Canis lupus familiaris: one gene and its partners. The protein of the gene in region 6 interacts with the protein of the main gene of each other region in a pairwise test. Links are inferred from orthologs where the notes say so. Each region holds a gene or a part of one and is shown on either strand. Other genes may lie near its edges. The genes, in order: ASB6, ISCA2, UBE2K, C15H1orf109, VPS52 and RNF41.

Region 1 (3,071 bases), on a different chromosome or scaffold from region 6:
CTGCTCTGAAGCAGGGATGTGGTGAGTGGGGGGCTATGGGCAGCCTCACAGGCCCCCAGGCCCATTCAGCTATGCTTTCTTGGCTCAGATCCATGAGAGCAGCCCCTTGGACCTGGCCAGTGAGGAGCCCGAGCGCCTGCCCTGCCTGCAGCGCCTCCTGGATCTTGGAGCAGACGTCAACGCGGCTGATAAGCATGGTGGGTGCCTCCCACAGGAAAGCAGGGCACCTGGCACCGGGTGCTTTGCGAGGGAAAGCCAGAGCACCCCAGGACAGTGGCTAGGTGTGCAGGCTAGATTTTGCTGCATTTTGCTGACCTGCAGAAGCTTTCAGGAAGTGGTGCAGCCATTGGCCCCACGCCAGCCCCTTGAGGTCTGTCTGCAGGAGGAAGTAGGGCATGCATGTGGTCAGATTCTGAGGCAGAGTTAGCACTTCTTGGCAGAGACTAAGCCCGGGTCTCAGGTAGCAGCATCTGCGTGTCCAGAAATATCCCACGTCTTCTGGCCACTCTGCTCTTGGTTCTGTGTTGGTGGAAAGGGAATGACTAGAAACCGATCACCCTCCACCTTGGCTGAGAAGTTGGTCCTTTTTAAAGTTTGCTTTCTGGGGGGTGCCCAGCTGGCTCAGTTGGTAGAGTATGTGACTCTTGATCTCAAGAGTTGTGAGTTCAAGCCCCATGTTGGGTGTAAAGATTACTTAAAATCCTTGAGGACAAAACAAAGTCCACTTTCTCATCCTGTGGTGTCCCCTGCACCTGAGGGGTGGTCCTGACCTTGGTTTCCTGGTCCACACTCCTCATTCTCTTCCTTCCATAGGAAAGACTGCTCTGCTCCATGCTTTGGCCAGCAGTGACGGGGTGCAGATCTATAATACTGAGAATATCCGGCTCTTACTGGAAGGAGGTGAGGCTGGTCCACAGGCTGTTCCCAGGCCCTTCTCTTTCTTCCCACCATTAAACATGAAGCATTACTTTGCAGGGATTTAAGACCTTCTCCTGTTTTCTCTTTTCCTGACTGGCTCTTGTAGGGGCAGATGTGAAGGCTACCACCAAAGACGGGGACACTGTGTTCACCTGCATCATCTTCCTGCTTGGTGAGACGGTGGGAGGGGACAAAGAAGAGGCCCAGATGATCAGCCGCTTCTGCTTCCAAGTCACACAGCTGCTCCTGGCCCATGGGGCTGACCCCAGCGAGTGCCCAGCCCACGAGTCCCTCACACACATCTGCCTCAAGAGCTTCAAACTGCATTTCCCTCTCCTGCGCTTCCTGCTGGAGTCTGGAGCTGCCTATAACTGTTCCCTCCATGGTGCATCCTGCTGGTCTGGCTTCCACATCATCTTTGAGAGGCTCTGTTCCCACCCAGGCTGTGCTGAAGATGAGAGCCACGTGGACCTCCTGCGCAAAGCTGAGACCGTCCTAGATCTCATGGTGACGAATTCCCAGAAACTCCAGCTGCCTGAAAACTTCGATATCCATCCTGTGGGCAGTCTAGCAGAGAAGATCCAGGCCCTTCACTTCTCCTTGAGGCAGCTGGAGAGCTATCCTCCATCCCTCAAGCACCTATGTCGGGTTTACATCCGGCTCTATCTTCAGCCCTGGCCTGTGGATGCGAAGGTCAAAGCCCTACCTCTGCCTGACAGGCTGAAATGGTACCTCCTCAGTGAGCATAGTGGTACCGTTGAAGAGGACATCTGACCACTCCCGGATGGAAGGGTGCAGGGTCTGGGCAGCTCAGCCTGCTGGTGGATTTTGGTACCTGTGGCAGCCTTAGGGGAGAACCTTCTGGCCATCTTCCGGAAGGTACAGGTTGGGAGAGGAGACTTGATCCTAACTGTGTACCAAGAACACAGGTGGAGCCCAGCAGCTGCGGTCATTCCTGTGGGAAAAAAACTCTGTCTTCCAGGGGGACTGCCCCCCCTTCTGTCTGCCAGAACCCCCAAGTCTCAACCACATTGGGAAAAGGGACAGGGTGTAGATTTGGGACAAGTGTACACCTCGTCTGCAGGGAGCATCAGGCAGGGTAGCTTTGAGTCTCTGTCCTCCTGAGAACTGTAGGAGGCTGGTCTGTCTTGCATGGGGCCCAACTAAAGCCAGAAGGAAGCATGGTAGGCTTGTGGGGGACAACCCTGCAAGGCCCTTCACTCCCAGCCTCTCCTCATGCTAGATTATGTCACATACAGAAGTGCTTTTGGTGGGCTAGGGAGAAAGCTGAGCTGACCCCTGCCACCTTTGGCCGTTCTGGGACCAGGTCACCCACGGCCCAGCCACCAAGGCACGGGACTGGACTCTGGTGGCAGCTGTCTGTGCCAAACCTGGGACCTTGGGAGACCATGTCTTCTGCTAAAAGCAATTCTGCATGACCAGAGACAGTCCTTTCCAAAATGTCTCACAATTTTGTGAGGGGTCCATCTGATGAAGAAAGCTACACTGCTGAAAGCTGACTGTACTGCCCAGGCCGAGCCCTCACAAAGCCGAGTCCCAGGCACATGGGCCCTTATGAATTGTGTAAATGCTGGGGAAGCAAGCTGAGGCAACTAAAGATACATTATAAAGTAAAACATTTCTCTTGGCCTTCAAGGTGACATTTTGGCCCCTCACCCTTCCCCAGCCTCAGATAAAGGCTCCCACTGCAGCCATTAAGAGGTGAGAAGCACTAGGGGACGGCAGCATCTGGTGGGGACAATTAACACAGCACTGCTGTCCCAGTTAAAAAAGAGTACCACTCCACACTGGCTAGGGCCTTCCCATTACAGGATTCACCCTTTTATTTTCTGACTGAAAATGCTCACCGAGGAGGAGCTGCCAGGCCCAGCCAGGAGTGAGGCTGCAGACTTGTAACGATCACATTAGGGACACCAGGGCTCCATCACCACACAGGCCTCAGAAAGCAAACATCCCCAGCAGCTGCAGGAGGTAGCAGGCCTGCCCAGGCTCGCCGTAGCAACAGGGTGACAGTGCCAGCTCCAGGCCCGGCTCCTCTCCTCCCCCCAAGGGAAAAAAGTCCTCTATGACCGAGAGTTCTCTTCCTCTTAAGGCAGCCAGGCCTACAGCTGGAAGGCCAGGTGGTACAAGGG
Region 2 (4,241 bases), on a different chromosome or scaffold from region 6:
CTGCATTTCCTTTTTTAATGGTAAAGTCTTCTACTGAATGACCTTAATTCCAATCCAGTTCAGAAATTTAAGTTTTTGCTGTAATGAACTTTTAGGAAAACAAAGGCTTAACCAATAATTTTTCCAGAATCAATTTGAATCAATTTGGTTGTGGTTTCCCCAACATAAACATTAATAAATCATTTGTTGTGATGGTGGGATTTGTCTTTTTTTAGTTGTCTGTCCACACAGTTCCGGATCCCCCAGCACTGTCACATACATGCCACAATTATTCTAGTTCTGTAGCCTAATTAAGTGCCATACCCAAACAATAACTTTAAAATTTAATGGACTTGGCTTTAAAAGCTTTTCTTTCAGTGACCCTAAAAAAAAGTTGCCAGGTTTAACAAATAAAAATACACAATGCCCAGTTAAATTTGAATTTCAAATAAATGACAAATAATTTTTAGTAGATGTTTCATGAAATATTTGGGACATAATAAAAGTTATTTGTCGTTTATTTGAAATTCATATTTAACTGGGCATCATTTTATCTGGTAATCCAACCTGAAAGAAAATCCCTAACTATCCATTATCTATACCAATAAATGGACCACTTCCTGCAAAGCAGGAGACCAGTGACATTTTACAGCATTAAGTGAAACAATGTATCCTAAAAAGACTCAGTCACTGAATGATCACAGAATCTTTAAGTGTCTGTGTGAGTATGGAGTATGGGGACTATTTTTCAAATGATTCAGGTTATCAGTGAGAGTTAGTTAGATCCAAGTTTTCTGGGTGGGCTGTTGGTTTTATGAATCTAGCACACAGGCTAGTAAGAGAGAAAAATATATCTACCCTAACAAATGGGAAGTGGAGAAAAAGAAGGATTTCAACTAGCACATTCAGAAGAGTGAGATGAAAAAAAGAATCTTCCCTTTGCCTTTCTCATCCTCTCTAGCCTAGCCGGTGTTCAAGCTACCCAATCTGTGACCCTGATCCAGAACACAAGTAAATAAGGACTTTCTTCAAAATGAAGCTTTTATACATAGCTATACACCTATATATAAGCAGCTGTGAAGCTCAGAAAACAAACTCCAAATTTTGGAAGCTTGGAGGCTCTACAGATTATACTGGGTGGGTTTCAACCAGTCAGTAGATCTTAGATCACAGCACCTGGAGGCTTAGCCTTAGAAATGTGTGAGTGGAATTAAATCAAGTGTAAAAGCTTCATATTCTGAAAATAACAGTGGCAAAACACAACATTCCTGGACTGAGGGAAATAAAATTGAGAGAAGGACATGATTGGAAGGAAACCTCTAGAATTCTACTAATCCCAGGTTCCTCAAACTGGTACAAGCGGTGGCAATCTCTGGATCACCTGTTGTTACATCAAAGTTTGATAGAGAAGGATGATCCACAGGAGCAGCCTTGCTGTGCTTGAGGATTGTTCAACACTTGAAACGAGCTTCGGATCAGTTCTTGGCTGAAGTCCACCTGGGCCCCTTTCACGAAGGCCAAGCTATCAGAGTCAACCACCACTTTTGCCCCACCCTGTTCAAATACCCTGAAAAGACAGGAGGAAAACATTAATGACGATCATAAACACCAAATACACAATATCCTCTGAGCCCCAAGGTGCACATCCTGTTGACCAAATACAGGTGAGGCATTCCTCATTACCTCTAAAACAGGTGCTGCTTTTGCTTTTCTCTGATCCAAAGAGTCAATGGAATGAATAGTGGTCAATGTTTAGGGACTTAGGACCTAGGCAGGCCAACTTTCCTCCTATAACATGGTTGTTCTGAGTCATGACAACAAATCTTCACTTGTACTCCCACTGCGTGAGAATGGTGGTGTTAGGCGTTCTTAGCAGATCCTTTATTTTTTTTTTGTTGTTGTTTTTATTTATTTATGATAGTCATAGAGAGAGAGAGAGAGAGGCAGAGACACAGGCAGAGGGAGAAGCAGGCTCCATGCACCGGGAGCCCGATGTGGGATTCGATCCCGGGTCTCCAGGATCGCGCCCTGGGCCAAAGGCAGGCGCCAAACCGCTGCGCCACCCAGGGATCCCATTAGCAGATCCTTTAAATTTGAAGTTAAACGTCCACTTTTATCCCTCCCACACGTTCTCAGAAGACCCACCCCTTCCTTCTTGCCTGTCGTCGGGGTTGATAACTGTATCCAGTGAAAATTTGTATTGGAATCCGGAGCATCCACCTCCCTCCACTTCCAGCCTGAGGAATTCTGACCCTTCGGTGATTTCCAGAAGCCTCTGAATTGAAGGAAAAAAAAAAAAAAAAAGATGGGGTGGGGGGTGGGGATCAAGAACGCCAGGCAAAGAGAGAAAGAAGGGGAGGCCAAGGGGCAGTCCCCGTACCCCGGGCAGTCGCCGCACGCCTACCTGGACGCAGCTGTTAGTGAGGTGGATCTGCCCTTCGCCGGCCTCGGGGCTGGAGGACGACGTTTCCCGACGAGCCTGAGGTCCGCGAAAGGCCGCGAGGAGCCTGCAGCGCAAGGCAGGAGGATGAGCCCCGCAGCAGAGGGACACCTGGTGGCTTCCACCTGGACAGCCTCCCGCCAAACCCTCGCCTCCCCCGCAGGCCTTAGTTTCCCCCTTAGACCCGGAGGCGCAGAACTTAACACCCTCCCCAAGTGCCTTTGTAGACGTGGTACCTGCCCCTTGCCCACGGAGTGACCGCCCTTAACGCAGCCACCGCTACAGACAACCCGCCGACGGCCGCCATCTTCCTCCACAGACTCTGCCCCTCGCGTCACTCCAATCCTCTGCTCCAATCCCCGGTCTCCACCCACGGAGACCCCGCCTCCGAGCACACCTATTGGGTGGTGCTGGAGGAGACGGGATTTGATTGGCTAGGGATGCTCTCACGACGGAGGGGGCGTGCCAAGAGGCTCGGGCGGAGCGCCGGGGCGGGGAGGGGGCGGGGAGGGGAGGGGGCGGAGCGCCGGGGCGGGGAGGGGGCGGGGCGGAGCCGGAGCCTAGCCGGCGGGGCCCGGGGCGGGCAGGATGGGCGGAGACAGCCGGCGTCTGGGCGGGCCCGAGCCAAACGCGGCTCTCGGGAGCCTGGAGCAGGGGGCGGGCCGCGGGCGGGCCGCGGGCGGGCCCAGCCCGGGTTACTGGTGACTGGTCGCCTGACCGGGATCCTCCCCTGGCCCACCCCGGCAGGTTATCTTGTGACTGAGGCGGTCGCTTCTTCCTCCCTGGAGCGCTTGGAACCTGTCTAGCCGCGATGCGTCTCTTGGTCGCCGCGTTCCTGCTCCTGGCGCTCGGCGCCTCGGCCCTGGCGGAGCCGGTGCATTTCAAGGACTGTGGTGAGTCCGAACCTGCCCGAGATTCCCGCGCCCTCTGCGGGAGCCCCCCCGAACCCTGCCCCGAGCCCCCGGGCTCGGTGGGGCGGGCCCCGCGGGCGGCGGGGCTCGGCGTGGGACCCTCCGGGAGCGGGCTGCGGCGGGCCGCCGTTAGGGAGCCGGTGCCCGCGGCGAAACCCGACGGCACGCAACTTTGTCTCTGTCCTGGGACGCGCGATTGGGGTCCCTGGGCGTTTCCTGGAGCTGGGCCTTTTGCTGAAGTTCTTGAAGTCGGTAGGGCCGGCCGTGGAAGGTCCCAGTGCTGCGCGGGGCGTGGGGGGTGGCGGGTGGGGGGTGTCACAACTTCCTTTTTTTGTATGCCCCTTATCTCGGATGCCCTCTCCCTCCCCACGCCGTTTGCTTTTCTTTTAAATTTCCCTTTTTGCTGGCAAGTCAAAAGTCCATTCTCCTTTGCATGATTTCTTCCATCACCGCTTCCTTTGAGCTATATGATTTTGTGCTTCTTAATCACTTTTTCCTCCTGGATATAAAACTCGTGTTGCCAATTACAGCTACATTTCTGCATAATAGGCAAAGAAAAGCTATAGTTCTTTTGAACTATGATATGTGATCCAAAGGAGCTTTATATTTTCCATGTATGCTGCCATTTTTCTGGTTGGTAGAAAATGTAATTAGCAGGCACAGTTTTACTATTTTATACTTAATAAAATAGCTTTACTTTTTTGGGGGGCCAAGACTGGTGATATGTGTATAAAGCACTGTAATATAAGATCCATAGATTTCTATTTATGCTGTTTTATGATTACATGAAATTCAATCTATCAGCCTTTTAGTAATGCAGTTGATGAGTTTTGGTGGATCTCAATTTTGTGTCAAGGTTTTCCCTGGGAAAGATGTTGCCTGGGGGAAACCGTGCCATAGTATTTTAGTGT
Region 3 (3,500 bases), on a different chromosome or scaffold from region 6:
TGCAAAGTGTGAAACATTATACAACCAAAGAGAATTATCTGCTTCTAAAATTGTAGGGACAGTAACAAATGTGACCAACTTTCATATATATATTTTTAAATTTATTTATTCATGAGAGAGACAAGAGAGAAAGAGAGAGAGGCAGAGACACAGGCAGAGGGAGAAGCAGGCTCCATGCAGGAGCCCGATGCAGAACTCAATCCCGGACCCCAGGATTATGCCCCAAAGCTGAAGGCAGACTCTCAACCACTGAGCCACCCAGGCAAACCAACTTTCATATTAACCACAGCTCAGAATAGAATACAAGTGGACTTTGCTATTTTGCTGAAACTGTATTAATATACAGTGATTCAAGAAAATACCATGTGCAAAGGCTTTTTAAGAAAGATTTTATTCTGGGGGCACCTGGCTGGCTCAGAGGTAAAGCATGCAACTCTTTTACTTGGGGTTTTGAGTTCTGGCTCAATGTTGGGCATGGAGCCAACTTAAAGGAAAAAACAAGATTTTTAAGTAATCTCTGCACCCATCATGGAGCTCAAACTTACAATCCTGAGATCAAGAGTTGCATGCTCCACAGACTGAGTCAGTCAACCAGATGCCCTAATATGCAGTATTTTAATTTATACCATGTTTTGAGATGTTTATGAACCCACCATACAGTACTTTTAGTTTTTTTAAAAGATTTTACTTATTTATTCATGAGAGATACAGAGAAAGAGAGAGAGAGGCAGAGACATAGGCAGAGGGAGAAGCAGGCTCCATGCAGGGAGCTTGACGTGGGACTTGATCCTGGGTCTCCAGGATCACACCCTGGGCTGAAGGTGGCACCAAACCGCTGAGCCACCCAGGCTGCCCAGATAAATTTATTCTTAAATACTTTGGAACCAACATTACTTAATAATGGAAGTATATACATTTAAAGTAACTGTTCAATTCACTTTAGTATTCCTTTTAAAAGTACTTTACATGGGGATGCCTGGGTGGCTCAGTGGTTGAGCATCTGCCTTCGGCTCAGGGCCTGATTCTGGAGTGCTGGCATCCCTTGCAGGGAGCCTGCTTCTCCCTCTGCCTATGTCTCTGCCTCTCTCTGTCTCTCTCATGAATAAAATAAGTAAAATCTTTTGAAAAATAAGTAAAATTATATGTATTGAGTATTCTAAGACTGATATGCTTCTATTATATATTAAAATAATACATCTAGTTTCTACTTGTATTAAGAATTCTTGCGAATTCTAAACAAGGAAATATGTCAAATTATTGAACTGTTCTAGGAGCTGGAGAAAGTTCCATGTCCAGCCTCAGCCCTTGAGGCTCATAACTCCACAGGAAATCAAAGTTGAGACTTCAAGCCATGCCGACTACCAAAAGCGAACGAACAGCACATATATATAGCATGTAAAACCCTAATTCTAAGCACTCTGAAACAAACATTATATTAATAAGGATATACAGAAAATAAGGAGTGAACAGATTTTTTTTTTCAGATCTTAATTATTCATTCGAGAGAGAGAGAGAGAGAGAGAGGGAGGGGGAGAGAGAGAGAGAGAGAGGAAGAGAGAGAGGCTAGCCTGATACAGGACTCGATCCCAGGGCCCAGGATCACGACCTGAGCCAAAGGCAGATGCTCAACTCTGAGCCACCCAGGTACCCCAGAGCAAACAGCTTTTCAAGGGAAAGGAACAGGTTTATTAATAGGAACCAGGCAGAGGAAACATAGCAGACCAGGTGAACTGACGGGTAGAAATGAATGACATCTTAAAAAAAGCAGGAGTCCATAAAAAACGGGAGTCCGAGGAATAATAAGAATTTAGGAGATGAAGCTGGTTTTGTGGACAGTTAAATCATGGAAAAACTCTGCAAACCAAAGAATCTGGATTTACCAAGTAGGTGATATCCGAGCTTCTAATAAGTTTTTAGTAGTAAAGTAAGATTTCTACTTTAAAAAGCTCACTGCTATCAAGTAGATGAAGGAAGGGACAGCTATCAGAGCAGTTGAACTAAGACATTTTTTAAAATGTGAACTAAGGCCGATCAGAGAAGTATGAGAGATATTGGGAATGGAATCACCAAGAGAAAAGAAGGCACAGAGAATTTCAAGTCTGTGGCTTGGATACTTAACTAAATAGGCGATGGTATCATAGAAGGATGGTCACGTTTGCAGGATTTAAGATTTTTTTTTTAAGATTATTTATTCATGAGAGACACGGAGAGAGAGAGAGGCACAGACATAAGCAGAGGGAGAAGTAGGCTCCATACAGGGAGCTGATGTGGGACTCGATCCCAGGTCTCCAGGACCACGCTCTGGGCTGAAGTCGGCACTAAACCACTGAGCCACCCGCGCTGCCCTGAGGATTTAAGATTCTACATTCAGTTTTGGGAATGCTATGCTGAGGTATCCATGAAACATATATAACTATCCAGTTCTGAACAGGCTCTTGCACTCAAGGAGAGGTAATGCCTAAACATTTTCTCAACTTACAGGTGATAGTATCAGTGTAGATATGATCATCCATGTGACCATATACAACAGTAAAAGTAAAAGGAATGATGTCTAAACCAAGGAACTCTTTTTAGAAGGAAGAAAAGAAATAATTGTAGGAACTAAGAAGGAATAACTACAACTACCAAGATGAGAAGAGAGTAGTATGTTAGAAGTTAAGAGAAGAAAAAAATTCCAAGTGGGGGACAAAAAAAAAAGCTCAGTAAATCCTAATGGCGTAGAACAGGGTTTCTCACAGGACCAGATAAGTAAACAAATGGATGTGGCTGTATTCCAATAAAACATTATTTACAAAAACAATAACTCTAGGTGTAATTTGCGGACCTCTGCCTTGGAGATCACATCAACTGAAAGATCAAAACTAAAAAATATTTATTCCATCTGGCAATTTTAAGATCCTTGGTAACTTTTACACTATGCCACTTCAGTCACAGCAAGAGCTGGTTAAAATTACCAGGGAAGGATTATCACTAAATGGAGGGATGGATAGATACGCACATGATAAAGCACGTATAGTAAAATGCTAATCACAGAATCCAGATGCAGGTAGGAATATGCGTATTCACTATATAAATATTTTGACATTGTGTTTGAAAATTTCCATTAAGTTTTTTAAAAAGCATCATATACTCAAAGTAGTGTATTAAAAATCAGTAGGTTTTCGCTATTACATCTGACAAAATAATCTTACCATGAGAAAGAAAACCATTTCCAAATTTAGTCTTTCTAAATAGAACTATGCTCATGTGTTAACACTGCAAATCACTACAGTAGTAGAAATTCATAGGTAAGTACAAGCAAGTCTTACCTGATTTGCTACTACTGCATCTTGTGGATCATCCGGTTCTGCAGCTGCCAAAAGGGCTTGCAATGACAATAATACCGTGCGGAGAGTCATTGCTGCAGCCCTAAAAAAACAAAACAAGAAAACATCTCAGTTAAGAACATGCAGCGTGACAAAAGTTAAGTGATTTTCTGAATATAAAAACTACTGGAGCTA
Region 4 (4,241 bases), on a different chromosome or scaffold from region 6:
ATCTTCCTTAGGTCTTTTCTCAAATGTCACTATCTCAGTGAGGCCTCTCCTGACTACCATGTTTAAGATCACAGCCCCACCCTCGCCCTTCGCTTGCCCCGTTTCATTTTTCCCCAAGTTCAAAGACAATGAGAACTGACCTGCACTCTATAGTCGTATGCTCTCGTGAAAACTGAAATGAAAAACTTCCTGAGACAGCTCTGGATGCTGTCTGAAACATATTCGCAAAGGATACGCATTTCGATAGTGTCTCTCAATATCCTGCAACCACTCCAACATGTCAGCCACAGAGGGGCTCACCGCTGAAGCCCGCTGGACAGCATCAATGCCAATCGCGTCTGCGTGCTGCTCATAGACCTCAAACACTTGTTCCACGTGCCTGCTGACAACGTCACGCACCTTGAGGAGGGTAGCTCTGGGGGGAAAAGTCTCACATTAGGCAATACCACGAGAGGACCCTAAGGCAGGGGTCCTCAACCTCAGCACATGCACATTTCAATTTGGACGGTCCCTTGTGGTGGAGAGTTGTTGTCCTGTGCGTGTTAGGATGCTGAGCAGTATCCTCGGCCTCTACCCGCTAGATGAGAGGAGCAAACCACGTCAGGACAATCAATCGGGTCTCCAGACACTGCCAAACGTCCCAGTGGGAAAAACTGCTCTGGGTGCACAGAGAGAGACTACTGCAGATAGGAGAAGTTACTTAACGCTCAATCATGTATAAAAATGGTGTTGCTCACTGCACACCCTAAGTGCTCACAACCCTGAGACTGGCACGTAGAATGACAAACACTTGTTCAATGAATGAATGGAGTGAAACGGTTCTTGGGAGGATCAAATGCAATAATGCTTATAAAGTGCTTAGGGAAGTGCCCAGCTCACAGTGAGCATAATAGTAATAATATTCTTATTATTCCAGGGCGTGATCCTGGAGACCTGGGATCGAGTCCCACATCAGGCCCCCTGCATGGAGCCTGCTTCTCCCTCCGCCTGTGTCTCTGCCTCTCTCTTTGTGTGTCTCATGGATAAATAAATAAAATCTTAAAAAAAGGGGTATCCCTGGGAGGCTCAGTGGTTTAGTGCCTGCCTTCGGCCCAGGTCGTGACCCTGGAGTCCCGGGATCGAGTCCCACGTCGGGCTCCCGGCATGGAGCCTGCTTCTCCCTCTGCCTGTGTCTCTACCTCTCTTTCTCTATGTCTATCATAAATAAATGAATAAATCTTTAAAAAAAATCTTAAAAAAAAAAAACTCTCTCTCTTCTAATCTACAAAGAAACCAAGCCTGGTTCATTGCTATATTCCCACCACCTTGTGCGTGGCTTAATTACAGGTGCTCAGCTCTCTTGTACAAATGACTACAAAGAAGATCCCTGTACTCGACCTGTTCCCGTTAGCCTAGGGCACAGACCGTATACACTGGACACTTATTTTGCTCTAGTCGAGAAAAGGCCTATCCGCGCGGGGTGCCTTTGTCAGGGATGCATTCCCTTGCGATTCTGGCTCAGGTCATGTTGTCATGACGGATCGTGACATGGGAGCCCTGCATGGGGCTCTGCGCCCAGCTGGGAGTCTCCTTGAAATGCTCTCTCTCCCTCTGCCCCTTTCCCCACTTATCCCCTCTCTCTAAAAGGGAAGGGAAGGGAAGAAGGAAGGGAAGGGAGGAAGGAAGGAAAGTAAGGAAGGGAAGGGAAGGAAGGGAAGGAAGGGAAGGGAAGGGAGGAAGTGAGGGAGGAAGGAAAGGAAGGGAAGGGAGGAAGGAAGGGAGGAAGGGAAGGAAGGAGGGCAGACTGCACACTGAGTGCAGAGCCCCAGCGCCGGGCTTGACCTCACCACCTGAGAGCACGACCTGAGCCAAAACCACAGAGCCCAAAGCCCGACTGACCACGCCAGCCAGGTGCCCCTGTAAAACGACTTTGTGACAAGAGGTCCCATTGCGGGGAACCCCCGGGTGGCTCAGCGGGTGAGCATCTGCCTGCAGCCCAGGGCGTGACCCTAGAGACCCAGGATAGAGTCCCACGTCGGGCTCCCTGCGTGGAGCCTGCATCTCCCTCTGCCTGCGTCCCATGCATAAAATCAATCAATCAATCAATCAATCAATAAATCCCATTGCAACAAATGGAGAAGAGGCGAGGCTGCGACACCTCCTTCCCTTCCAGGGAAGGGGAAACCCCCTCTCCGACTGATCCTAGCTGCTTAGGGAGCCCCCGCGTCTCCACCCTCCCGCGCGGAGCTCTTCTTACAGCGTCTCCCCTAGCTTGTCCAACACGTCGTCGCCAGCCTCCAGCTGCTTGCGCCGCAGCCGCTCCCGCAGGCCCGGGAAGGCCCGAAGCGGGGGCGCGTCGTCCAGCCGCGCGACCTGAGCCGCCTGCAGCTGCTCCGCCAGGCTGCCGAGCGCGGCCAGCAGGGGCTGGCAGTCCCCGAGCGCGCCCCGCCAGCGGCGCTGCTGCTCCTGCACGGCGGGGAAGCAGCCCCTCAGGGCCTCCCGCACGGCGAGCAGAGGCTGGTCCTGCGCCATCACCTGCCGGACAAGCCCAGGCCGGCGGGCAGCGCCAGGCGGCCCAGGTGCGAGGGTTCCCGTGCGCAAGCGCCGTGTACCCCCTCCGACCCGGGGGCGGCCCCGCTTTCAGGTCGCAGCGCTGTCCCGAAACCCGGGCCTTGAGCCCGAGTTCTGTCTCCTCCCCTGGCAGCTCCGGTCGCCTTCCCCGAACCGGCGGGAGCCCTGGAAGCCCGCGGCGGCTAAGCGGGGGCGCCCACCGGGGCACCCACGCCCGGCGCTCCCTCGCCGCCTCTCCGCGCATGCTCCAGCGCGGCCGCCGCGGCGCAAACGGAGGTCGCAACGCGCGATGCCTTCTGGGGGCTGTAGTCCTACGGGCGGAGCGTCCTTGTGATTGGATGTTGCGGGAGCCTCCCAAGACGGCGACTTCTGATTCGTCAGCCGGTGGCGGTTTGAATTCGGCGGCGGCGGCTGCACGTCGGGTTCTGCAAGGAGCTGCTCCGTCCTTGCGGCTGCGGAGGCGGGGGTTCTCTTGGACGCTTTCGGCGACCCGCATGTACGTGCCCCGCGCCTCGTTTAAGCTCGGGCCTCCCCGGGGCAGCCTGTGCCCCCCGCTCGCCCCTTAGGGCGCCCGCCCGGCCTCTCCCGCGACCTCGGCCGCTGACCGCCCCCCCCCCCCACGCCCCGGGGGCGCCCGCAGCCTCCACCCAAGCGCCATGGCTCCGGCTAGGAAGGGCGGCAGTCGGGTGGCCAAGACCAGCTCCTTGCGGAGCCGGAAGCTCGCCTCCTTTCTTCGGGACTTCGACCGGGAAGGTAGGGGGCGCAGCCGGGGTGCGGGCGGGGTGGGGTGCGGGGCCCCGGGCCCCGGTTCACCCGCCCGTGTGCCCTGCCCGCAGTGCAAATACGGTCCAAGCAGATCCAGTCGGACACACAGAACCTCCTCAAGGAGATGGACAACCTGTACAACATCGAGATCCTGCGGCTCCCCAAGGCGCTGCGCGAGATGAACTGGCTCGACTACTTCGGTAAGAGCCGCTCGCGTCCCCAGGCCTCGGCCGGCGGTGATCACCCCCGCCCCCCGCCCCCCTGCGCTGCTTATTGCACTTCCCTGCTTCACCTGTCTGCACAGGACTCTGACGTCATCTGCCCCGCAGGTAGGCAGGCAGGCAGGCAGGCAGGCAGGCAGGCATCCATCCCCTCTAAAGGACCCCATACTGAATTCTTGAAGCTTTGCAGCTACTCAATTCAAGCTGTTCTAGGCCCAAAACTGCTGGATTGAACAGGTGCATGTATGTGTTCCAGGAAAACGTTACTTAGGGACGCACAGAAATGTGAAATTTGTGTGCATTTTTTGTGTCACAAAACGCTCTCTCTCACTTGCTCGCTCTCTCTCTCTTTTTTTTTTTTTTTTGGATAGTTTATCCAGTCGCTTAAAAACGGATACCTGAATAACTTGGTTCGTTAACCAGAGCTCAGATGGTTGGAGAACCCTAAGCCGTACTTTCTGCATCTCATGGAAACCGTCAGTTAAAAAAAAAAAAAGGGCAAATCAGATTGTGAAGCGCAAGGACTCAAGTTTTTCTGGCCAGCAGAAAACTGCAGCCTGTTCTCTGGCCCCCATGTTAAATGCCCAAGGACATGCGACAGGCTCTCGTTTCTGCTCTGGGGTGCCCTTACTTTTCCTCGTTTCTTTATTATTAGCTATTATGTAGGTTCCGTCCTGCATAGAAAAGCACGTTGTGTTCAAATTG
Region 5 (2,914 bases), on a different chromosome or scaffold from region 6:
TCTTGGTTCCTTTTCTGTCAATAGCCATCAGTGATCACTGCCTACATCCATGAACTAGATTTCCATAACCCTCAATGTCTCAAAATTTCCCATCTCATCTGTGCTACATTTTAAGTCATTTCTTCAATTATAAAATTCAATTTGCTGTATCATTCTTCAGGTATTTCTAATCTGCTGTATAACCTGTTGACTTTTTAAAATTAAAGACTTTTAATTTTTAAGTCATCTCTTGAAAGTTTCATTTTGTTTCAAGTCTGTCCATTCCTCATCTTGTTGAGTCGTCATCTTTGTGTCTATATTTTTAATTCTTTGAATGTTTCATACAGAACTCACAACTGCTGTGTATATGACAGTTTTTTTTTAAAGATTTTATTTATTTATTCATAGACACAGAGAGAGAGGCAGAGACACAGGCAGAGGGAGAGGGAGAAGCAGGCTCCATGCCGGGAGCCCGATGTGGGACTCGATCCCAGGTCTCCAGGATCACACCCCAGACTGCAGGCGGCGCCAAACCGCAGTGCCACCAGGGCTGCCCGTATCTGACAGTTCTGATGTTGGCAGTCTTTGGTATACCAGTCTAAGTCCATTGCTTATTGTTTATACTGTTTCTCATGGTAGTTTCCTTTCATATGTGTCTGACGATCTTTGAGTTCATTGCTCTGTCTTAATCAGGGGGAGTCATATGGGCCTAAAATGAGATTGAGGATATTTTTCTGTCAAGAGGATTTGCCTCTGCGTTTACGGTAGGCAAATTACTGAAAGACCTAATCCACCTCGATTTATGTCAGCACCCCTTTGAGGCTCTCACAAGAGGCCCAGGCTCCGCTTCTCCACTTGAGTCTGGCATCAGGCTCAGATTCCAGATAGCAGAGTTGCCATCGCCATTTGTCTTCTGGCAGCCTTGCCTCTCCCAGCTTCCTACCTTTCTGGTTCTGGCTCTGATCCCAATTACTTGTGCTTTGCTCCCCAGTTCAAGTTTAGTGTTTTGGGACCATTGGTGTCTTAAAGTATGTAATTTGCTCTGGCAATATTCTGAGGATCTAGTCATTCATGATGCCAGAAGTGGGAAAATGTCTTGATACCAGGACATTTGACTATGTGTATGTGTGTGTGCTTATTTCTACAGGAATTCATTGAAGAGTTGTTGTCTCCCCCTTTTGGGGGTCTGGTGGCATTTGTGAAGGAAGCCGAGGCTTTAATTGAACGTGGACAGGCTGAGCGACTTCGAGGGGAAGAAGGTATGCAGATGATGTGGTCAGGTGGTGGAGTTAATGGTAAGGGGAGTGGAAAAGAAAAATGAGAGGAGGCAGATTCCATGAGGAGGGGGTAGAGCAGGAAAATGAGATTGGATGTGGAAGAGGGCTGTGCCTTGGGGAGGACGTAAGGGTTAAAGATCACCTAGCCAAGTCCTTTTCTGAGACCCTCTCTCTTTGCTCCTGCCATCAGCCCGGGTTACTCAACTGATCCGTGGCTTTGGTAGTTCCTGGAAATCATCAGTGGAGTCTCTGAGTCAGGATGTAATGCGGAGTTTCACCAACTTCAGAAATGGAACCAGTATCATCCAGGTAACTTGCAGCTTCCAGGCCTCCCTTCCCTCCAACCCCTATCATTAGTTGTTTTCTCTGGGCTCAGCATCATCCAGGTGACCCATGACCTTCAACTACCAGCATGCCCAAAGTTCTGGATGAGCCCTAGCCTGATTCCTGATACCATCTCTAGCACCACTCCACAGCCTGATCTTTCATGACTTTCTCTGACCAGGGAGCTTTGACCCAGCTGATCCAGCTCTATCATCGCTTCCACCGGGTACTCTCTCAGCCCCAGCTCCGAGCTCTCCCTGCCCGGGCAGAGCTTATCAACATTCATCACCTTATGGTGGAGCTCAAGAAGCACAAGCCCAACTTTTGATGCGCCAGACCCTGGGATCCACCCGCCTTCTCCATGGACTTCCGTACCCCATCCCAGACTCTTCTTCATCTGGGGTTTCCTTAACAGTTGTCCACCTGCCTCCCAGGTCCTTGACATGCCTCACCCTGCCTCATCAGAATAAGCTGGATCACCTTGTTTTTGGGTTCCCAGGACCACTCCCCCCGGGCTTCCAAAAGCCTTTATCATTTCCCTGATTTCACCACCCCTTCCCCCACACCCAAGTTCTCTTCCCCCAGTAAAATCTTTACTGTTTCAGTCTCAACTCTTGTCACCATGGCCTGAGGTGCAACGCCTCAACTCTTGGAATTGGTGGCAAGGCAAGTCATTGATTTTTTTTTTTCCCCTTTCACTCAGTGATTTCTTTTCTGTAGCTTTTTGACCTAAGATCTCAGCAACTTGAACACTAACAAGACCTCTCCTGGCTTGAGAGTTACTCCAAGGTCAGTCTGCAGAAAACAATAAATATTTAATATGACATAATACTCTTCTCTCATTTCCTTCCTCCTTCTTCCTGGGGCCTTCAAGTGGCCCCCACCTCTGCTCCAGGATCACTTTTTTGTTCTGGCTCTCTCCTGGGCTTATCTCCCTTCTGGTGGGTGTCCAGAAGAAGGGGTACAGATAGTAACTTCTAATCTCTAGCTGCTTCAGGCCAAAGAAGTAGCAGCGTTGGTTTTAGGGAGGGGACTGTGTCGTGAGTAACCAGCCTGGTGGAGGAAGGTGGCCCCTGGTTAAAAATGGCAAATACCTCAAAAAAAAAAAAAAAAGGGCAGATCCCTCAAGGGCTGGGAACACGGTTGTACAGCCTCAGGCACTGTTCCACAGGCTACCTTGATTCCCTAACAGGGGCTTAACTTGCATGGGGGGCTGGAGGGCTGTAGCACTCACACCAGGGCGGGGGTGGGACAGGTTTGCAGCGTGCCTGTTTCATCTATTTCTGTGTTTGCTTCCTACTGCACCCCTACACCTCGTTTGAACTCAGACTCTA
Region 6 (3,500 bases):
TGCTGAGCACATCCACCCCAACAGACTAATCCCCTACCCCCAACCCTGTCATTCCCTAGTTATGAAAAAATGTAGGAAAGAAGAGTCACCTAGAAATTTTCAGCATCCCAACCTGCACACCTGCAGAACCAGCAGGAGCCTACACCTGTAAGGTGGGCCGGACAGGATATTGCTTGGCACAGAGGTCCAGTCTTCCCCTAAGGGGGCCAGTTACTGGCCTCATTGCTAATTTCTAGGGTTTTTGATTCCATCCCTACCATTTCTTCAGGATGTCTGCTCCCCAGAGCTGCCCTCTCATGCTGTTTAGTGTCAACCAGCCTGCCTGCTCCGATTCCCTGGTTTTGGAGGAGGGGGAACGATTAGATATTCCTCACTCCACCCTGATCCTCTAGAGAAAATGAATTCTTTGTGCTTTCTAAAAATATCTAGAACCAGGGACCCTAGGCAGGAAAACAGATATAGAGGTGGGGACTTTCCCAAACTGACTGAAAATTTACAGACATCTTAGGGGAAGAAATCAGGCAAAAGGAAGGAATCTGGGTTTCCCACCTGAAAGGTTGAGCAAAGTGCCCTGGGCCCTTCAGTGCCAGAAGAGTAGGGAAACGTGTGGCCCATGTGTAAGCCACGGTACTATGAATAGTAGGGAGGACTCAGGGACCAGCTGCTGGAGTGATGGGTTTTCTGATTGCCATCTCTTCCTGCTAGCCCGTCGAGATCTCCTATATCTCTTCCACGCCGTGCGCAAATATCATGACAAGCCCTGGTTCCTGCACCATGTCATCACCCATGTGCTGGTTCTCACAGGCCATCACGACAACAGCCTGCTTGCCAGGGATACGCTTGGCCACGTAGTTCTCATAGTAGCGCCGGTTCATCTGTCTGGTCTCTAGGGTGGCCAGACCCTGGGGCCAGCTACGCTCGTGGGCATTTTCAATCAGCTCGTTGACAATAGAGGCAGGACAGCCACTCTCCACCAGGGAGCGCTTGATTACAGCCTGGAGTACAGCATCTGGGGTTGAGATCATCCCTCCCCAGCGGGTCACTCTGGCTGGCTGCAGGGAGTTCACCCACCTGTGTGGAGGGGATTAGAGGTGGTCATTCCAGCTCATTCCCCTTCTCTGCATTGGCTTTTTCTCCTGCTCTGCGCTCAGCTCAACCCTGACCTTCCATTTTCCTTTTTCCATCACTGGTTCAGAAACTCCACATCTTTCTAGCTGGTCCCCTAGGAGTCCCAACATGTCACTCAGCAGATTAAACTCTACAAGTGAAGAGTTCCTGTCATCTTTCTTAGAAACCCCAATACATAGAACATACGTGCCTGGCATGTACTAAGTGCTCAGTAAATGTTTATCGGATGAAGCAATTATTCCTGTATACTGTGTCCCACACAGCACCATTTGCATTATATAATATACTGATTCACACTAAGAATTTAGTCTGTGAATCGTACACAACCCCAGCACTGAAACAGATTTTAGACTTTGCTTGTTTATGCTGCATTTTAGATCACTCTCCTGGATTTGCACTCACTCACTCCTCTGGGTTGTAAGCTACCTGACAATAAGGACAGTATTTCCTTCTTCTTGGCCCTCCCAGCACTCCACAGCCTTTTTTTTCCCCACAGCCTTTAACATGGCTTTGTACGTGTGCATACTCACTTAAGTCCAGATGAATTGAATCCTTGGGTAAGCTTTCCCTTCAATCCACCCAAAAGAATTTAAGATCCTATAGTGGTGCTGAAAGTTCTCTTCCTGTCCTTCATCCCAATTATCTGAAACGCCGTGGCCCCAGCCCAGCCCTCTTACTACCCTCCTTCTGCCACTCCCCGGCTCTTCCTCCTTTCAGGGCTCAGTGCCAGGACGTGGAGCAAGTGACTCCATGTCCTGAGTGACACTCACTCTAGGATCTCATTGTATTCAATGGTCTCCTCCAGGTTCTGAAGGTTGGGGTTGACACTGCGGATTGCACGCATGTATGCCTTTAACAGCTGGATATCTCGCTTCTGTGGGTGGGAAGGAGAATCAGAGAGGACGGTTAGGGTAGACAACAAATGGAAGACGAAAGTGTGTCTTAGAATGAGGACAGCTGAGAGATGCGAGGAACAACCAGACCTGTAAGCTTTACAAAGACAGGGATGGGACTGTCTCATTCCTAGTGTAACCCGAGTGCTTGGCGGGGACCTTCTTAGAGGGGGCATTTAATAAATGTTAGGTGAATGAGTAACATTGACGGGATGGAGAAGGAGAAGAGCTCCCATCCGATTCCCAACCAAGCCACAGGCGGAGCATCTGTTCACACAGACACACGAGCACAGGCACAGACCCACCTGCTCACACGGGTGCTTCTTACCCCGTCATCTGCACACACACGTGGCATGTACACACACACACACACACACACACACACACACACACACACACACACACACACACACAGTTGTCCACAGTTACCTGCACATGAGAGGCAGGTTCTCTCAATGATCTCTGGGCCCTACCTGCTCCGCCAGCTGGTGCTTGTGCTCAGCTGAGGTCTTCTCCAGCTCAGCGATGCGTGTCTGCTGCTGCTGTACCACGGAGCGCAGGTGCTTAATGCAGTTGTGGTTTGGCAGCTCATCTTTGGGCATCTCCAGGCTGCCACCCGGAGTGGGGAGGAAAGCAGAACAGGGGCATTCAATGGGTCACGTGGGCGAAGGCAGGAGATGCCGACAGGCTTTTCTCCTAGCCCAGGTGTCTAACATTCAGGCCTCCCTCTTATTTATTCCCTTCACTTCCTTCTCCCCAGCAGCCCCGCCCGTGCCCCCGCCCCCCATGCTCCTTTGCTCTCTACCTTCTCTGGGCCTCTTGCACTTTCTAAGAGTGTTTTATCTGCCACACAGCTCTCCTTTCTTCCTACAGATTCTGCCTATGTACCCATTCCTTCTGAGCAGCCCTAGATTCACAGCCCTAGCTAGACAGCAGCATTTAATCAAATATTTCACAGTCCAAAGAAAGAAAATAACAAGGCGCAAGGAACTATGAGAAGCCTCGAAATTAGAGCAGTCATAGTGACAAAGAAAAAGGAGTACTGGGCTGACGGGGAAGAACAGAGGGAGTCATCCCTTAGTTCTAGCACGCAGATTGGGACCTGCTTCCTCCTCTCTTTCATTCAAACAAGAGCAAAAAGATCCTAGTTGAAAAAGCATCACCGAAGTCAGATCTTAGGGCGGGGAGCCAGGGAGGCCAAGGACGCTCATTGCATACATTCACGCTCGGAGAGCTCCCGAGCTGGTGAGCAGGGGCTCTGGAGATGGGGGACTGGGGACAGGGAGTGTGGGTGCGGGAAGGGTGGTCATCAACCAGAAGGCCCTCATCTGTGCAGGGCAGAGGAAGGGAAGTAATCTCACCCGCAGCCCTGCTCACAGGTCACAGGCCGTTTGGGGTTGTGCTCACAGTCGCTGAGGTGAGACATGAGGTTGTCAAGCCGGACAACAGCACTACAGCCAAACACAGCGTTGTCGCAGG

Evidence for each region.
Region 1: the proteins of RNF41 (region 6) and ASB6 interact in binary tests that used the Homo sapiens proteins (3 or more experiments, as listed by UniProt). The link is inferred for Canis lupus familiaris from reciprocal best matches to the Homo sapiens genes RNF41 and ASB6.
Region 2: the proteins of RNF41 (region 6) and ISCA2 interact in binary tests that used the Homo sapiens proteins (3 or more experiments, as listed by UniProt). The link is inferred for Canis lupus familiaris from reciprocal best matches to the Homo sapiens genes RNF41 and ISCA2.
Region 3: the proteins of RNF41 (region 6) and UBE2K interact in binary tests that used the Homo sapiens proteins (3 or more experiments, as listed by UniProt). The link is inferred for Canis lupus familiaris from reciprocal best matches to the Homo sapiens genes RNF41 and UBE2K.
Region 4: the proteins of RNF41 (region 6) and C15H1orf109 interact in binary tests that used the Homo sapiens proteins (3 or more experiments, as listed by UniProt). The two-hybrid records come from large-scale screens. The link is inferred for Canis lupus familiaris from reciprocal best matches to the Homo sapiens genes RNF41 and AIRIM.
Region 5: the proteins of RNF41 (region 6) and VPS52 interact in binary tests that used the Homo sapiens proteins (3 or more experiments, as listed by UniProt). The link is inferred for Canis lupus familiaris from reciprocal best matches to the Homo sapiens genes RNF41 and VPS52.

The regions. Positions count from the first base shown.
Region 1 is NC_049230.1:54,248,449-54,251,519, forward strand, and holds the end of ASB6 (ankyrin repeat and SOCS box protein 6), read left to right. Parts: intron 1-88; coding exon 89-197; intron 198-813; coding exon 814-900; intron 901-1,024; coding exon 1,025-1,692; 3' UTR 1,693-2,571; downstream 2,572-3,071. UniProt on the Homo sapiens protein: Probable substrate-recognition component of a SCF-like ECS (Elongin-Cullin-SOCS-box protein) E3 ubiquitin-protein ligase complex which mediates the ubiquitination and subsequent proteasomal degradation of target proteins.
Region 2 is NC_049229.1:47,966,805-47,971,045, reverse strand, and holds the start of ISCA2 (iron-sulfur cluster assembly 2 homolog, mitochondrial), read right to left. Parts: upstream 2,801-4,241; 5' UTR 2,727-2,800; coding exon 2,656-2,726; intron 2,487-2,655; coding exon 2,384-2,486; intron 2,255-2,383; coding exon 2,139-2,254; intron 1,547-2,138; coding exon 1,372-1,546; 3' UTR 1-1,371. Other genes in the region: NPC2 (NPC intracellular cholesterol transporter 2 precursor), read left to right, coding at 3,231-3,312. UniProt on the Homo sapiens protein: Involved in the maturation of mitochondrial 4Fe-4S proteins functioning late in the iron-sulfur cluster assembly pathway. May be involved in the binding of an intermediate of Fe/S cluster assembly.
Region 3 is NC_049224.1:73,290,153-73,293,652, forward strand, and holds part of UBE2K (ubiquitin-conjugating enzyme E2 K), read right to left. Parts: intron 3,409-3,500; coding exon 3,309-3,408; intron 1-3,308. UniProt on the Homo sapiens protein: Accepts ubiquitin from the E1 complex and catalyzes its covalent attachment to other proteins. In vitro, in the presence or in the absence of BRCA1-BARD1 E3 ubiquitin-protein ligase complex, catalyzes the synthesis of 'Lys-48'-linked polyubiquitin chains.
Region 4 is NC_049236.1:4,885,377-4,889,617, reverse strand, and holds the start of C15H1orf109 (uncharacterized protein C1orf109 homolog), read right to left. Parts: upstream 2,801-4,241; 5' UTR 2,512-2,800; coding exon 2,237-2,511; intron 416-2,236; coding exon 236-415; intron 1-235. Other genes in the region: CDCA8 (borealin), read left to right, coding at 3,207-3,303, 3,387-3,515. UniProt on the Homo sapiens protein: Part of the 55LCC heterohexameric ATPase complex which is chromatin-associated and promotes replisome proteostasis to maintain replication fork progression and genome stability.
Region 5 is NC_049233.1:2,852,072-2,854,985, reverse strand, and holds the end of VPS52 (vacuolar protein sorting-associated protein 52 homolog), read left to right. Parts: intron 1-1,126; coding exon 1,127-1,238; intron 1,239-1,446; coding exon 1,447-1,565; intron 1,566-1,761; coding exon 1,762-1,908; 3' UTR 1,909-2,414; downstream 2,415-2,914. UniProt on the Homo sapiens protein: Acts as a component of the GARP complex that is involved in retrograde transport from early and late endosomes to the trans-Golgi network (TGN).
Region 6 is NC_049231.1:867,130-870,629, forward strand, and holds part of RNF41 (E3 ubiquitin-protein ligase NRDP1), read right to left. Parts: coding exon 3,383-3,500; intron 2,631-3,382; coding exon 2,495-2,630; intron 2,003-2,494; coding exon 1,899-2,002; intron 1,072-1,898; coding exon 720-1,071; 3' UTR 1-719. UniProt on the Homo sapiens protein: Acts as E3 ubiquitin-protein ligase and regulates the degradation of target proteins. Polyubiquitinates MYD88. Negatively regulates MYD88-dependent production of pro-inflammatory cytokines.